Linked DNA regions of Schizosaccharomyces pombe. The gene in region 2 interacts genetically with the main gene of each other region. Each region holds a gene or a part of one and is shown on either strand. Other genes may lie near its edges.

Region 1 (7,534 bases), 1.2 Mb from region 2:
CCCCTTCTGGAGAAAGTGATCATGGATCAAATGCCGGGAATGAAAGTTTACCGTTATTGGAGGAAGACCACAAGCCCGAAAGTCTTTCAAAAGAACAAGAAGTAGAAAGGTTACGGTTCAGTGGCTCAATGGTTCAAAATCCTCACGAAATAGCTCGAATTCGTAATATAAACAAAATTTGCATAGGAGATCATGAAATTGAACCTTGGTACTTCTCACCGTACCCTAAAGAATTTTCGGAAGTAGATATAGTTTATATTTGCAGTTTTTGTTTCTGCTATTACGGATCTGAGCGACAATTTCAAAGACACCGCGAAAAATGTACATTGCAGCATCCACCCGGAAATGAAATATACCGTGATGACTATATATCCTTTTTTGAAATTGATGGAAGAAAGCAACGTACATGGTGTAGGAATATTTGTCTTTTGTCCAAACTTTTTCTGGATCACAAAATGCTTTACTATGATGTTGATCCCTTTTTGTTTTACTGTATGTGTCGCCGCGATGAATATGGATGTCACTTGGTAGGATATTTCTCAAAAGAAAAAGAGTCCTCCGAAAATTACAACCTTGCTTGTATCTTAACTTTACCTCAATACCAAAGACATGGTTATGGCAAGTTACTCATACAATTTTCTTATGAATTGACCAAGCGTGAGCACAAACACGGCTCACCTGAAAAACCACTTTCTGATTTGGGGTTGATTAGTTATCGAGCGTATTGGGCTGAACAAATCATCAACCTTGTGCTTGGAATGCGAACTGAAACCACTATTGACGAATTAGCCAACAAAACTTCAATGACTACTAATGATGTGCTACATACACTTCAAGCACTAAATATGCTTAAATATTACAAAGGTCAATTTATTATCTGTATTTCAGATGGAATTGAGCAACAATACGAAAGATTGAAGAACAAAAAAAGAAGAAGGATCAATGGAGATTTGTTGGCAGATTGGCAACCTCCTGTTTTTCACCCTTCCCAACTACGATTTGGATGGTAATTCTGTACAAAGAATGGATTAGATGCTGGTCGTCTTTCTTAAAAAAAAAAAAAATTCTCATAATTAAAGTATCTCCTAGATATATATTAATGATACTTAAAGTTTGAAGGAATAGAGACTAATTTGTAACCTTTTATTTCATTTTAGTTACTTTTGTAATTTCGATATTCCTTTGATTAGAAAAGCCTCTGCTATTGCCTTGGTTTTTTCGGCTGCTCCATTTTGCAGGATAGCTGGATATCGTATACTAGCCCACATGTATGCTACTATTAATTTGTGAAGCTGCTCTAGTTGTTGTAACTCGGTTTCAGTGGTTGGAATTCCGCGTTCTAATATTTCCAAAGGTACAGACTTCAAATCATATATTTGCAGACGTTTTCCTTGAGCGATAACACATCCGATTTCCCGAATAAATAGTGGTGCGTATTTAGAATGCTTTAACACTGGGCACCCTAACAATTTGATTTTATCTTTAATGGTTAAACCTTTTATGTGGTCTAAATATTCAATAATGAATGTGCTTAGTGCTCCTTCCGACACAACAAATGGAGTAGTCGTTTTCGCTAACTTAAAGTAACGATCGAAAATTAGCTTTTGAGGAATGTCATCAGAGAATAGTGATAAATATCTAAAGAATAAATCGTCCTTAGCTCCAATACAAGCATTGAATAAGTTCTTTGTAGGAAGATTCATGGCGCGATTTAATTTCGCAAAATCTTTTTGATATAGGGTAGTTACTATTCCAGCACTTTGCTTAGATCCATTGGGATTATGTCGGCCAGCTCTTCCTGCTATCTGCTTAATTTGTGGTACAGGGATGTCTATAGTGGAAACTCCACTAAACTTTTTTAAATCGCTGAAAACAATACGCTTTACGCCTAAGTTGAGACCCATACCAATGGCATCGGAGGCCAGCAAAATATTTTCATCAGAACTCTTTGAATTAAATAAGCTTGCTTGTTGATTACGGACTTCAGGAGGCAGTGAACCATAAATAACGGCAGATTTTTTTCCTAATGCTTGATCAATTTTAGACTTCAAAGTAAAAATGTTTTTCCTTGAAAAAGCCACAACACAATCCCCGTCTTTGAGTTCACTTAACTTTCCATTTAAGCTCTTTTCTGCAACGTGGAGAGGATTTAACCGTTCGTATCTGTAAACAGTAAAATCATCTTGGGTCATTTTAGCAATTGAACGCACTAATTTAACAACACTTTCTTCTCCGCATAAATGAATTTCCTTAGCCTGCAAGCCAAGCAAGCATTGAGTCCAAGCATATCCCCGTGAAGGATCAGCCATCATTTGGATTTCATCAATGACTGCAACATCAAAAGTAGTAGATAAGTTGCACATTTCTACAGTACATGAAACAACCTGAGGGAAAGGATAATCATTTCTAATCTCTTCCCCTGTGTAAAGATTACAAGCTATTCCGTTTGCTTGCAAGCGATTATAGATTTCGTGAGCCAAAAGTCTTAAAGGGCCAGCAAATATACCTTTCTTGCAAGTCTTAAGTCTTTCTAAAGCCCTATGTGTTTTCCCGCTATTCGTTGGGCCGACATGCATAATGATATGCCTTCTGAGTTTTCTCGCTCCTGGATACCACTCAATTGGATTTTTTAAATCTGTTAATTGCTTTTGTAAGTCAGGTCTTGTTTCTTCTATTCGCTCTTGATATCGTACATACTTCCGATACTCTGAGAGTAAACAATCATGGATCTTTTTTATTTTCTGAAGGTCAAAAGTAGAAGAAGATTTTGAAAGAGCCAATGATTTATCAGAGTTTTTTAAGTCAGAAAATCCTAAATCTGTAAGGATATTCTTTTTTAACTCATAATAGTATACATTCTGAAAGACACTGGCATCCTTGCAGACATTGACAAAGTCTTGGGCTAAGTATGCTTGTTTTGACGAAAGTTCTTTGGAAGCAAATAAATATGCAGTGAAGCGATTGAGGGCAGCAGCCCACAAGGTATTTCCTGGGAATTTCCTTTGTTGAAAAACATCCTTTGATAAAGTGTGAATTCTAGCAGACTTGCTAAAAAACGGTACACAAAACGTTACGCCATGAATCAAAGTTTCCAAAAACATTCCTGGCGAGTTAAAATCTTTCTAGCAATGCTCTATTGCTGGCCGCCCTGTAACCAGAGCAAAACTTAATCCAAGTATTTAAAGTAATTTAAAAACAAGAAATGTTTATATAGAAAATTAAATACTTCTCAAACGTCTGAAGGTCCCTGGCTTTATCGCTTTTAAAAATATTACCTTCTATTAATTAAAAAAGGAAAAAAAAAGTAATAATTTGACTACGAGATTCAGTCAAGTTGCCTGCTGAGGCCTCTAATATGTTATACCAACAGCTCTGCATGTATCTCCAAAAAATTAGTATCTCAGCAGTACCCTTTAAATTCCAGTTTTCCGCTTCAGTAAATATATAAAATTTTTTAAAAAGCGTTTATTACCTACACTTGTATTATAACAATTTCACGCATTTGGTGTTGGCTTTCGATTATTTACGCGTGCTGTAAGAAATTAGAGAACCTGTGGATTCGAACAGGAAATGAATTGTGTATCACCATGTTTTTCGATGTTTCATTTTGTGATGCGTTACATATCGTTATCCGAGAATGACTAGAGAAGGTGAGTAGTAATACCTTGTCTAGTTCACTTTGCAACACATCTTCTGTAATCTACCAAGCGTTCTTTCAAATTTCTTCGCATTAAGTTTTAAATTATAGGTCTTCAAGATGGTGTTAGAAGCAACGATGATTCTGTAAGAATTTATTTTTGTTAAATTATTGCTCTAACATGGCAGAATTGATAATTCAGAATGGATGATTAATGGTGATTATATACCTACGAGGTTTGAAGCTCAAAAGGATACTGTACATATGATTTTCAATCAAAAGATCAATGATAATCCGGAGAACATGTGTGGTTTAATGACAATTGGTGATAATAGGTATATGATTAATATTACGGCTTGAACGGTACTTTATGTTCAGCTATAAAATACTTTACAGAAATTCTAATCATATTAGTCCCCAAGTTCTTTCTACATTAACCAGAGATTATGGTAAATTCTTATCTGCAATGCACGACCTGCCTGTCCGAGGAAACGCAAAGTTTGGCGATGGTATACAGATTGCGCAGTTAGCCTTAAAGCATAGAGAAAACAAAATTCAACGTCAAAGAATTGTTGCATTTGTAGGTTCTCCTATTGTTGAGGACGAGAAAAATCTTATTCGTCTAGCCAAGCGTATGAAAAAGAATAATGTTGCTATTGATATCATTCACATTGGTGAGCTTCAGAATGAATCAGCTTTGCAGCATTTCATTGACGCTGCTAATTCAAGTGACAGTTGGTAAGTCTACGGATTTTTCGGACATTTTTGGCTTCTTTTTTTTACTAGTATTAACAATTTTAGTCATCTTGTCAGCATTCCACCTAGCCCGCAGTTACTTTCAGATTTGGTAAATCAATCCCCTATTGGACAAGGTGTAGTTGCTTCTCAAAACCAATTTGAGTATGGAGTCGATCCTAATCTTGACGTTGAATTGGCGTTAGCCTTGGAACTTTCAATGGCGGAGGAACGAGCACGTCAAGAAGTTGCTGCTCAAAAATCATCTGAAGAAACTGAGGATAAAAAAATGCAAGAATGATCCGAAGATGTCTACGATTCCTTATCCTTATGAAAGACAAATTAACGTTCTTGTACTTTACTAGCCATGCTTTATGCAGCAACGTTTAAATTAGATTGAATCCTAAAAATCATGATTTTTCAAAATATATCCAAAATAATAAATTGGCAGCATTTTGTTTCATTTTCGTAATTAGCATTGTAGAAAAGGTTAGCGCATTCTAGAAACACATTACTAGAAGGAAAGGTATTAATCTACAATCAAGGTAGCGTTAGTGGCATCCAATAATAAAAACGCCCCTAATATACGTGTCTGACTAGCTGTTTACCTTTCTTAATTTCAACATATACATAAACCAAAACAATTGTTTTCTTCAACTATCTATTATGACCAATAAAATGCAGACCCTTTACCCAAAATTTACTTGATCGCAATATAAAAACACACTTATTTGATCGTCATAAAAGACAATCCATTCCTTGTGTTTTCAACAGCAGATATATATTTCATATTTTCTTCATCAGTCCATTTTACTGATAGCTCATCCCATTTTTTGGTCTGGTATTCTTTTCTAAATTGTTGGCGAATAGCGTTTAATTTTGACATTTCGATGGGATTTCCAGTACCAGTATACAAAAGCAATAGAGAACCTTTTGGTAAGGAGTCGTATAAAAGACGAATTCTTCGATTAAAACGCTCTAAAGCAGAAGAATAGCTAGTTACTTGGTCCTCTTCTACCGAATCATTCTCTGTATCAGTATCAGAGTTGTTTTCTTGTTTTGTATTTCGATTAGCGTTCCACATAGCCGCATGCTCCAATTCGCGAAAACGACCCCACACGAAGTTATGCATGTCTGAAAGACTTACAACAGCGCTTACGACTTCATCATCATTCGCACAAGAAACGCTTTTATGAGCCGCTTTGCCAATGCACGACTCCGGATTACCATAGTCGGCAATTGCACCAATCAATGGAGTTGGCTGCTGTCGTGACAATCTATGAAAGATTGACTCAAAGTCTTGGTTAAACAACCCAAAGGCAGGTCCATTCTTAACTTTCAACTTTAGAAGATCCACACAAGCAAGAGCATCTTCTGCAGAATCGTGCCCCAGAGCTCCCGCTTTTTGTATCTCACGCCTCAACCACTTCGTTGCAAGCCATTTAAGCGATGGTTTTGAAGGGGGACCACGAGTGTGATTATAAATGTTTGCCGTATCAATGATATGAGGGTGTGTAAATTTTAAGCAATTAAGATCAGAATTTAGACTATGGCCTAAAAGAACGGTATTGTTGTCCACAGTCTTTTTTAAGTAAGATTGAACATCGGAAAGAACAGTAGTAACATTTCTCAGTTTTTCTTCAGTTATGCCAGAATACTGGGTAACATAATCAGTGACGGGTGATTCTGGTTTTACAAATTCGTCGTAAATAACCTCACTTTTCATGTCTACAATAGTTACTCTGGCTATTTCTAACCCGTTCTCAGTCCGCACCATTTCGCAATCAATAGCAAGAATTTTGGGATTTATAGGAGGAGAATGAAAATCTCCTGCAGAAGCAACCCATCCTGAAGGCTGAGTAACCTCTTCACCCTTCATGACAGTAGGATGTAATGGGTATTCGTCTTCAATGAAAGATTCATAACTCATTAAGTAATCAGATGGTTTGGAAAAACTAGCCATAGCACGTGTTTCTTTATCTCTTTTCTTCTTTTGTTCATTACTCAGAGGAGATTGCAAAAAGGCATTCACCGGAGAAAAGACACGAAATCGATCTCCAGGAGATCTCGTAGGCCATGCGCGATCAAACACTTCACAAAAATCAGGTAATTGAATGGGGCCATTTTCATTTAGCAAATTCGGCAGCAAAAATGAGTGCTTGTTGCCGCGCACGGGTTGAAACCCAAATTGACTAGGCTCCAATCCAGGAACTAAAAGTATCACTGCTCTATGAATCATTTGTTTATTTCTCACTAGAACCCATGAAGGAGCCTGTCCATCAGCTAAACACCAGAATACAAGCTCTTGTAGGTCGCTAATTTTTAGGGGTTTTTGAAGATTGTTTTCCGTAGTTTGCAATCTAGGGTAATTTTCTTCATTTAGCGGTTGCTGAGATTTTTTTAACTTTTTCTTTTTCTTTTTTTTACTCTGAGAGTCGTCATTAGAGTCTGGTGAATCTTTCACTCCATCATTTGAACCATCCATACTTAGGTCTTCTTTTTTTCGCTTCACTTTCCTTTTTTCTCCGTGTGAAGCAACATTCTTTGACTTTTTTTCAATGGAGTCTTCTTGGGTTATCCCATCCTGAAGTTCACCCATGCTTGAGGATCCCATCTTTGACATTTTTTATTTTGGTGGTATCACTATGGTGGTCGGCTATTCCGCGGGCAATGCATCTTCAGATCCTCGGAATACTAATGTGCTTATGTTGATTGCGAGTTTTTATTTGAATTGCAGGCTTTAGCATTGTCTTGTATTATATCCATTAACTAAGGATTTCAAATTTCTTTTTAATCCAAAAAATGTCACAATGACTACATGTTTACTTTAAGTGCTCAATGAGGATATACAAGGAATATACTCAGAAGGTTCAATAAATATTTGAATAAACGTATTTTATATTATACAAAAAAATTGAAATTAAGCAGATTCCAACCTTTTTTTATATTTTTTTCATTGCCTTTTCTGTAAACTCTCATCAATTTTGTTAATAATATCAATGATAATTTCGGAAGCAGGCGATTCAGGACATTCATCAATAAAGCTTTTTCCAAAATCACATGAACGTGCAATCAATGGGTCCAAAGGAATTTTACCCAAGAATGGTAGTCCCATTTCTTTTGCTAACGCTTCACCTCCTCCTGTAGTAATAGTGAATATAT
Region 2 (8,080 bases):
ACAACTTTGGACAGATACAGATGATGAATTTCGACAATTAAACATTTGCAAACAAGTCAAAGCTCAACATACAAGCATTCACTGTTTAACGCTTTTTGAACTTTCTCATTTCCTGAAACGTTTGTTTACAAGCTGATATAAAAAAAGGGATTGAATTGAACGGCTCAGTTGATATAGATTAATTTAAAAAGTGAACTCCGTTTAGAAAGTATCGCATAAGTTAAAAAATGGTATTCAAACAAAGCTAACAAAAACGAAACAAATCGCATTTTCCCATGAAAAATACAAGGTTGTTCGGAAAACTGCATATTTGAACATGATGACAGCCAAGAAGAAAAATAGAAGGATTTATTAGAATTCCCTTAAACTTTTCATTATAGTCTTTTCGGTACGGTAACAACCATATATACAATCTATACATTTCTTCAGACCATTCAAATCTTAAAATGGAGCTCCCCTTCAATTGAAGAAACGGAAAATTTTTTCTTGTCAAATTTTTACAGACTACTAACCTACTAAACAGAACCTCATTAGTGGTAAAGTCCATTTTAATACTTCTTGCTTATTAATTCATTATTTTATTGCCGTAAAACATAAATTATCCTTTTATTTTCTTCTTCTTTTCTTCCCTTGTATAATACTCATTTTTCGCCAAGTCTCAAGTATTCCAGTGTTCGATTCCGACCATGGAAACGATCTCGGTCGGGTAAAATGAAGACTCTGGTAGTCTCCAGGCTATTGCATCTCGTTCAGATTTGGGTTGATCTTCTGGAACAATGCGGGCAACTGGTAGAACGTTAATGAGGGAACAGATGAAAAACTGGAAACCTAGATGCGTGACAGGAGAATCTGGTGTTCTTTTTTTTTGAATAAGTATATTTAATAGTTAACAATATCGAACATGGTTTTAGTTAAAAACCATGCAGAAACTACTGAACGCAATTAAGTTTAATAGTTCTTCTACTTACACATTTTTTCAACCGTTACTTTACTAGTATAGTCTGGAAATATATATATATAGTTATTAACATGTAACTATTACCTTTTTTAGATAATATTTAAAAAGACATTCTTCCCATCATCCCGCATCTTGACTGTACAATATAATACCGGTACTTAATATAATAGTAAGACGAACAGTGATTTTGAGCTTCTTTCGGATCTGATATTGCTATGGGTGGAAAAAGAAAATTTCGGATGGATTTAGGATTAATGCAGAAGAGAATTTGAGGTAATTGAGTATCATTTTCAAGCGAATTTTTGCAAAACGAAATTGTGTTGCCCTTATAGAACTCGCCAACTTTTGGTTCCTCTTCCGAGTCCAGTTCTTTAATCGCTTGCATCTTGATCGAGAGAAGCGAAATCATACCCCAAATGGCCAAAATCACTTGGCCATTTGTTAATTTAAGCTACCTTTGTCGTCCGACGCTCCCCTTCTTAATCATGGGATTTTATCCGTACTTTCTCCCCGGATTTAAGAGAAACTCGTAGTATTTCACGAAAAAAAAAGAAAAGATGAAATGAGTTTCCAATTTATAATAAATGAATTGTCATTCTCACATTTATGAATTGGATTTCTATATTTTGCGGGTTACACTATTTTGACTCCTATGTGTGTAGCCTAGTTTCTCGCAGTTATTCATTCAAACTTTCCACTCAGCCATCACAATACCCGATATTATCGGTTTGATGGATCTACTAGTGTCACTCGAGTAAAACGACCGTTTTGTCTATTTGCGCTATTTTTTTCCTCCTTTGCAAATCGTTTATTTACACATATATTTTTTCCAACAACACTATTTAGGACTGCTCTTTCTGTGTGTCAAAAAGAGGAAATTTTTTGTATAAAAGCCTTGGGTCCATTGCCACAAAGCAATTTTTCTTTCTGGTTGCCAAGAGTGCCTTCTCTTACTATTAAAAATCTTTCGGAAAAAAATTTTTGCTTTTCATCTAATCAAAAGCTATTAAACCGGTGTTCATAAATTTTACTACCACTTTTTGTTCGCTAAAATATTTTTGTGGGGTTTTTTTTTTCTTAATAATTATTACATCGTTCGGTTTTTTTCATATATCTCATAATGACTTCTATGTTTTCTCTTAAAGGTAAAACCACTCTCATCACCGGTGGTTCAGGCGGTATCGGATTTTCGATTGCTAAAGCATTCGCTGCCGCTGGATCTAATGTTGGTCTTTTGTACGGTCGTAACAAAAAGGCTCTTGAGTATGCTGCTGAATTACGCGACAAACATGGTGTTCAAGCCAAGGCTTATTCTTGCCCCATTGAGAACCGTAGTGCTGTAATTGAAACCACCAACCAGGCAGTTGAGGAATTGGGTGGTCGTTTGGATGTAATGATTGCTAATGCTGGTATTGCGATTCCCCACTTATCCTTGGAAGATAAGAATGAAGACATCTGGACCAAGGTCGTGGGCATAAACCTGAACGGTGCTTATTATACTGCACAGGCTGCTGGCCATCATTTTAAGAAGCAAGGAAAGGGCAGTTTGATCTTCACGGCTAGTATGAGTGGTCACATTGCCAATTGGCCTCAACAATGGGCTTCTTATCATGCTACCAAGGCTGCTGTCAAACATCTGGCTCGCGCTCTTGCCGTTGAGTGGGCCCCTTTCGCTCGTGTCAACTCCGTGTCTCCTGGCTACATTGACACAGATTTGACTCTGTACGCTGATGAAAACTTGCGTAAGAAATGGAAGGAGTATACTCCTCAAGCCCGTATTGGTCTACCTGATGAGCTTCCCGGTGCTTACTTATACCTTGCTTCCGATGCTAGTTCCTACTGCACAGGTAGTGACATTATTGTTGACGGTGGTTACTGTTCTCGTTAATTTCTTTACTATTAATATTTCCCTCTATAATCATAATTAAAAACTTGAATTTTTGAACCTCCCTTGAGCCTATAATCCAAAACAGCTACGTCAAAAAGGTTCTTCTTCTGGATCTGTTTCATTTTTAAAACATTTCCCCTCTACCGTACTCATTTTGTTGTTGGAGCTTAGATCTCTACACTCATGGCAGCATGTAATTTGAATTGGTTTTTTTAAAACAAACTGCTATTCTATATGCTTCCTCTCCCGATTTGTCGTTTTGAAGTTTCTAATGCTTTTTAATTATCATCTAACAAATCTAAAAAGTTTTATCACTATAGTTAACATAAACACTGTGTATGATAAACTAACTCTTTCTTTCTCTAACTTGCATAAGCACACCTTAGTAATACTACATCGCCGAAGTTAAAATAAATCAACGGTATGCTATTCTTTTTGCATGTTTCAGATGGGTTATTTGTACAATATATCGAGGTAGAATAATTTTAATTATTTAATGCCATTTCCTTGCTAGTTTTCTTTATCCTATAGCTCATGAGTACATTCTATGTCTTTGAAACACTTGATAGAACAAAGAAGAATTTTTTATTTTTATTTCATCTTCGTTATGTAAATGATTACAACGGTATCTAAAATGTCTTATTGTTTAACAAAAAAATCCCTTAATTTCTAAGTCCAGCAAAGCATTCAGCTTAAAGCTACGAGTAAAAAATACCTGCCATCTTCATATTAAAATGGACGCTCCACTAGTGAATGAATCGGTGGAATTCCAAGAATCTCAAGAGTCCTTAAGTCTCTTGGAAGCCTCCAAACAACTAGATTTAAAAAAAATTCAAAATCTAGTGGATCAGGGGGCAGTTACTTCAGCTATCGATATCGAGTCTGGCAAAAATGCTTTACATTTTATAGCCTCATACGCTGAGAAGGAGACAGAGGTTCAAGCTATTGAAGTAACGAAATGGATCCTTTCTAATGGTGGAGTCTGGAATGGTATTGATAGAGCTAACGAAACTCCTGGATGCATTGCACGTCGTAGGAATTTATTGCGCTTGTACGAAACAATCGTGGATGCTGGAGTTCGATCAGAGCTATTACTTTCTCTCTTAGAGAGGAAGGAACTTACAAACGAACAATTGGATACTAACGAAAAATACTTGCAAAGTGCACTCTCCTATACGCAACCTACAGAAGACAGTTCAAGCCTTTTGGATAGTGATGCAAACGCTGTTATGATGAGTTGGGAACGAAAAATAATGCATCGTTCTGCTGAAATTATTGCACCAACCAAGGGCCGCCGTGTTTTGAATGTCGGCTTTGGTCTTGGAATAATAGATACGTTCCTTCAGGAAAAGGAGCCTTCGCTTCATGTGATCATTGAGCCCCATCCGGACGTTCTGAAACATATGCGTAAAAACGGTTGGATGGATCGTGAAAATGTGATTGTATATGAGACAACTTGGGAGAACGCTATTAACGACATTGCGTCTAAATACGTTTTCGATGGCATCTACTATGATGCTTTCGCAGAAAGCTACGAAGATCTTCGAAACTTCTTTGATTCAGTTGTTGGTCTCTTAGATCCTGAAACAGATTCCAAGTTCTCCTTTTTTAACGGATTGGGCGCCGACAACCAAACATTTTACGATGTTTACAAAAAATTGGTCCCCATCGATCTTGTATCGTTCGGGCTTCAATGTACATACGAATCCATGCCCGTAAGTAGTAAAGACGAGGAATGGAAAGGCGCAAAGCGTCGATACTGGGATGTTTCAAAGTATTTCTTGCCCATTGTCACTTTTGATTTTTAAACTTGCTGAACTATACGCTTGTCATCGGACGGAACTTTGGAATTTAGTTTTTGGGACTAAGGATAAACTATCTTAATACAATTTTGTCTATATCATTTTATTATTTGAAATTCAACTTTCATAAGCATAATTAAGTTGTAATGTTAAACAGACGTATTTTTCTTTTTTTTTAGTATCTTAAAACTGCTATCGTTTATTGAACATTATAAATCACTGAAGCGTAAGTAAACTGACAATTTAGAAAAAACTTATTTTTACACAACAAGTAAGCTTTCTATCTAGGAGAAGCATATATAGAATTCGTCATCGTACTTAAATTAAACGACTAAACATATTCATTCAAATCGATTAATATGATCATCGCGATAAAACAGAGTACGATGACTTTCCAGGTAAAGTCACTAAAAGTCTTGTTCAGGTAAATCTGGCAAAACTTGCAAGCATGGCATAATAATCTAAATATCACCAAAAGATTGGGCCGTATAAATTTTATTACAAAAGGAAAAAGGGAAGAGGGAAGTCTTGATACAAAGGGTATTATCCTTGAAATATATGAACACCAATAAGCCTGATTGATATATTCTAGAAACGAACAAAGGAATTAAAGATCACTCAACAAAGATTCAATAGCACCTTGCACGTTTCCTCCACTTCTTCTTAGTGCTTGAACGTTACGCTCGAAATCCACAAAGCCCATTTCATTAAGCTGGCTCAATTGCTCAGCATAACGCTCTTCTGGAGGGCGAGTATCTTGAGCAGGAGCTGGAGGAGAGGCAGCTCCCCCAAGGCCAGCTCCCAAACCGGCGTCTCCCAAACCAGCACCGAAGCCAGCTCCTCCCAAGTTATTTAATAAATTTTGAATGGTGTTGGCAGCAGCAGTTTGATCAACAGGTGCGGCACCTGCAATACCAGCTGTAGCATTATTAGCCCCTCCAAATCCACCTAAACCAGCTCCACCTAAACCGCCTAAGCCAGCTCCTCCTAGACCACCCCCCATTAAGGACATAGGGTCAATACCGGCAGCACCCATTTGTTGATGTAGTTGAGCCATTTGGCGCATTGTGTCGGGATCAGTCATCGCGCGACGGAACTCAGGGGACTGCATCATTTGACGGACATAAGGAGGTGCATTACGAAGATGCGGGCTGCTATTAATAATCATATCCAACATTTGAGGATTTGAAAACATCTCATTAATAGAAGACTGCACCATAGGATTAGACAACATATTGGCAAGCTCTTCGGTCGAGGGTGGAACAGGATTCTCAGGATTAGGACCAAACATAGATGCTGATGGCATAGGGATATTAAATCCAGCGTAACGAGCGCTAGTTAAATTGGCAAGAGGATTATTAGCACCCTGACCTGCTTGAATATTCGTTGGAACTTGTTGAGTGCGGTCCGATACATTCGTGGCGGCGGCTGCAGGATTTTGTCCTAAGGTTTTTACCAAATGTATACTATGTCCATCTTGAATTTTGTATGTTTTTAATGACTCTTCATCTTTCAGAACGCGACCAGCGTAAATCAGTCTTTGTCGTTCCTTCTCTATATCAGCTACAGGCGCAATGGCTTCCTTTAATGCAAGTACAGAAGATTCACTATCAACTGTAACTGCGTACTTTTGATCATTTGCCGCCTTAATAGTCAACGATATATTGGTCATGTTGTTGGGTTTGGTTAGGTATTTTCCACTCGTTCGATGACGCTCTTATGTAAAAGAAGTATCTTCGGTGAGCTTCAGTGGACCCTTTCTTCAGGTCCCAAAAACTCCGAATGGTGACCCAGTTCTCCGTTTTGGTTACCGACGTCTCCGAATTCACCGAGTTGTGACCGAACGCCATAAACATTTCACTGTCCTGATACAACTTTCAGCAAGACCCAAATCAATGTGTAAGTGTAAGAGGCGGCAAAGCTGGTCCCTTGGAATTTATTAAAATTTGCTAACAAAATCAATAGCTTTCAACCCAGGTAATAACCAGAATTCAGGGTTTTCATTTGGGAAACCTGCGCAGCCGAATTCAGCTGCGCAAGGAGCAGCAACTCCTGCGGCGACTGGCTTGTTTGGAAACACAAATAATAATACCTCTTCTACAGCGCCGTCTGGAGGCTTATTTGGTTCTAATAACGCGAGTAACACCAGTGCTCCCAGTACCTTTTCTTTTGGTAAAGCAGCGACTACAGGCAACTCAACAAATGCATCAACGAGTTCACCTTTTTCGTTTGGGTCTACTAATACCAACAATACTGCTGGGGCTAAACCTCTTTTCGGAGGTTTAGGAAGTACCGGGTCTGCTAACTCTACTGGTGATAAAAGTAAAAACACCGCTTCTTCTGCTACAGGTGCAGCAACTACTAATCCTTCAGGTAGTACTTTTAATTTTGGAAGTTCAAATAATTCTTTTAATTTCGGTAAACCCGCTTCTACGACTAATACGACGACTCCGGCAGCCGCTAGTACTGGTTCTTTGTTTGGGAAGCCTGCTGCTACAGGGACTACAAGCAATGCCCCTCCAGCTTCTTCTACTTCTACGACACCTGCTACTGGAAGCGGAGGTTTTAGCTTTGGAAAACCTGCTAGTTTAGGCTCTACTAATAATGCATCCACTTCAACCACTGCTAATTCAGGCTTTAGCTTCGGAAAGCCTGCAACTACTTCAGCTCCAGGATCTAACACTACTGTCACCCCCAGTAGCTCCATTACGGGAACCAATGACTCAAAGCCTGCTGCATCTAACACTGGTTCTGCTCCAACTACTGGTTTCTCTTTTGGTAAGCCTGCGGGCCAAGCAGCTTCAACCGCAACGGACAAAGGTACTACCACCACATCTTCAGCTGGTACTGGATTTAGTTTTGGAAAACCTGCAACTACAGAGGATACTAATAAACCTACTGCTCCCAACTCAGCTTTTACAAAACCGGCTACTTCAACTGGTGATAATAAGCCAACATTTTCTTTTGGAAACACTTCAAAACCTACGGAAAATACTAGCACAACAGCAACTTCAGCTCCGCCACTTTCGAACAATACGAAACCTGCAGAAGGTGCGAATCAGACTAGCTCTGGATTTTCATTTGGTAAACCTGCAACTGATACTACAACATCTACTTCAAAAACCGGTCCCCTTTTTGGTAATAAACCTGCCGATCCCAGCGCCAAGCCGGGCGCTACTGCCTCCACTACTCCTTCTGAGCCTCCTCCATCTTCTATCAAACACAAAACTCTTCAGGAAATCCTTAATAAATGGTCTACTGATTTGACTACGCAAACTGAAGTTTTTAATAAGCTTTGTGACCAGGTTTCTGACTGGGATAGAACTTTAGTAGACAATGGTGCTTTAATATCGAAATTATACACTGAAACTGTTGAAGCAGAACAGATGTCAAACCGCATTGATGACGGATTGGAATATGTATCTTCCAGCC

The links. A genetic interaction does not mean that the proteins touch.
Region 1: mutations in dsk2 (region 2) and rpn10 are lethal when combined (synthetic lethality), as found in Schizosaccharomyces pombe (one study listed by BioGRID).

What each region holds. Positions count from the first base shown.
Region 1 is NC_003424.3:4,554,860-4,562,393, reverse strand, and holds rpn10 (19S proteasome regulatory subunit Rpn10), read left to right. Parts: upstream 1-3,697; 5' UTR 3,698-3,757; coding exon 3,758-3,783; intron 3,784-3,825; coding exon 3,826-3,972; intron 3,973-4,029; exon of another isoform or gene 4,030-4,051; coding exon 4,052-4,375; exon of another isoform or gene 4,376-4,438; coding exon 4,439-4,673; 3' UTR 4,674-4,843; downstream 4,844-7,534. Other genes in the region: histone acetyltransferase, KAT5 family Mst1, read left to right, coding at 1-1,010; ATP-dependent RNA helicase Rpm2, read right to left, coding at 1,158-3,101; rex1 (putative ribonuclease H70), read right to left, coding at 5,100-6,971; Fe-sulfur cluster assembly ATPase Nbp35, read right to left, coding at 7,326-7,534. UniProt on the Schizosaccharomyces pombe protein: Protects ubiquitin chains against dissambly by deubiquitinating enzymes thereby promoting protein degradation.
Region 2 is NC_003424.3:3,367,983-3,376,062, reverse strand, and holds dsk2 (UBA domain protein Dph1/Dsk2), read right to left. Parts: upstream 6,337-8,080; 5' UTR 6,321-6,336; coding exon 5,256-6,320; 3' UTR 4,679-5,255; downstream 1-4,678. Other genes in the region: SPOM_SPAC8E11.08C (uncharacterized protein), read right to left, coding at 245-547; SPOM_SPAC8E11.12 (uncharacterized protein), read right to left, coding at 1,059-1,367; SPOM_SPAC8E11.10 (sorbose reductase), read left to right, coding at 2,079-2,846; rmt2 (N-methyltransferase), read left to right, coding at 3,581-4,654; nucleoporin Nsp1, read left to right, coding at 6,544-6,547, 6,614-8,080. UniProt on the Schizosaccharomyces pombe protein: Protects ubiquitin chains against dissambly by deubiquitinating enzymes thereby promoting protein degradation.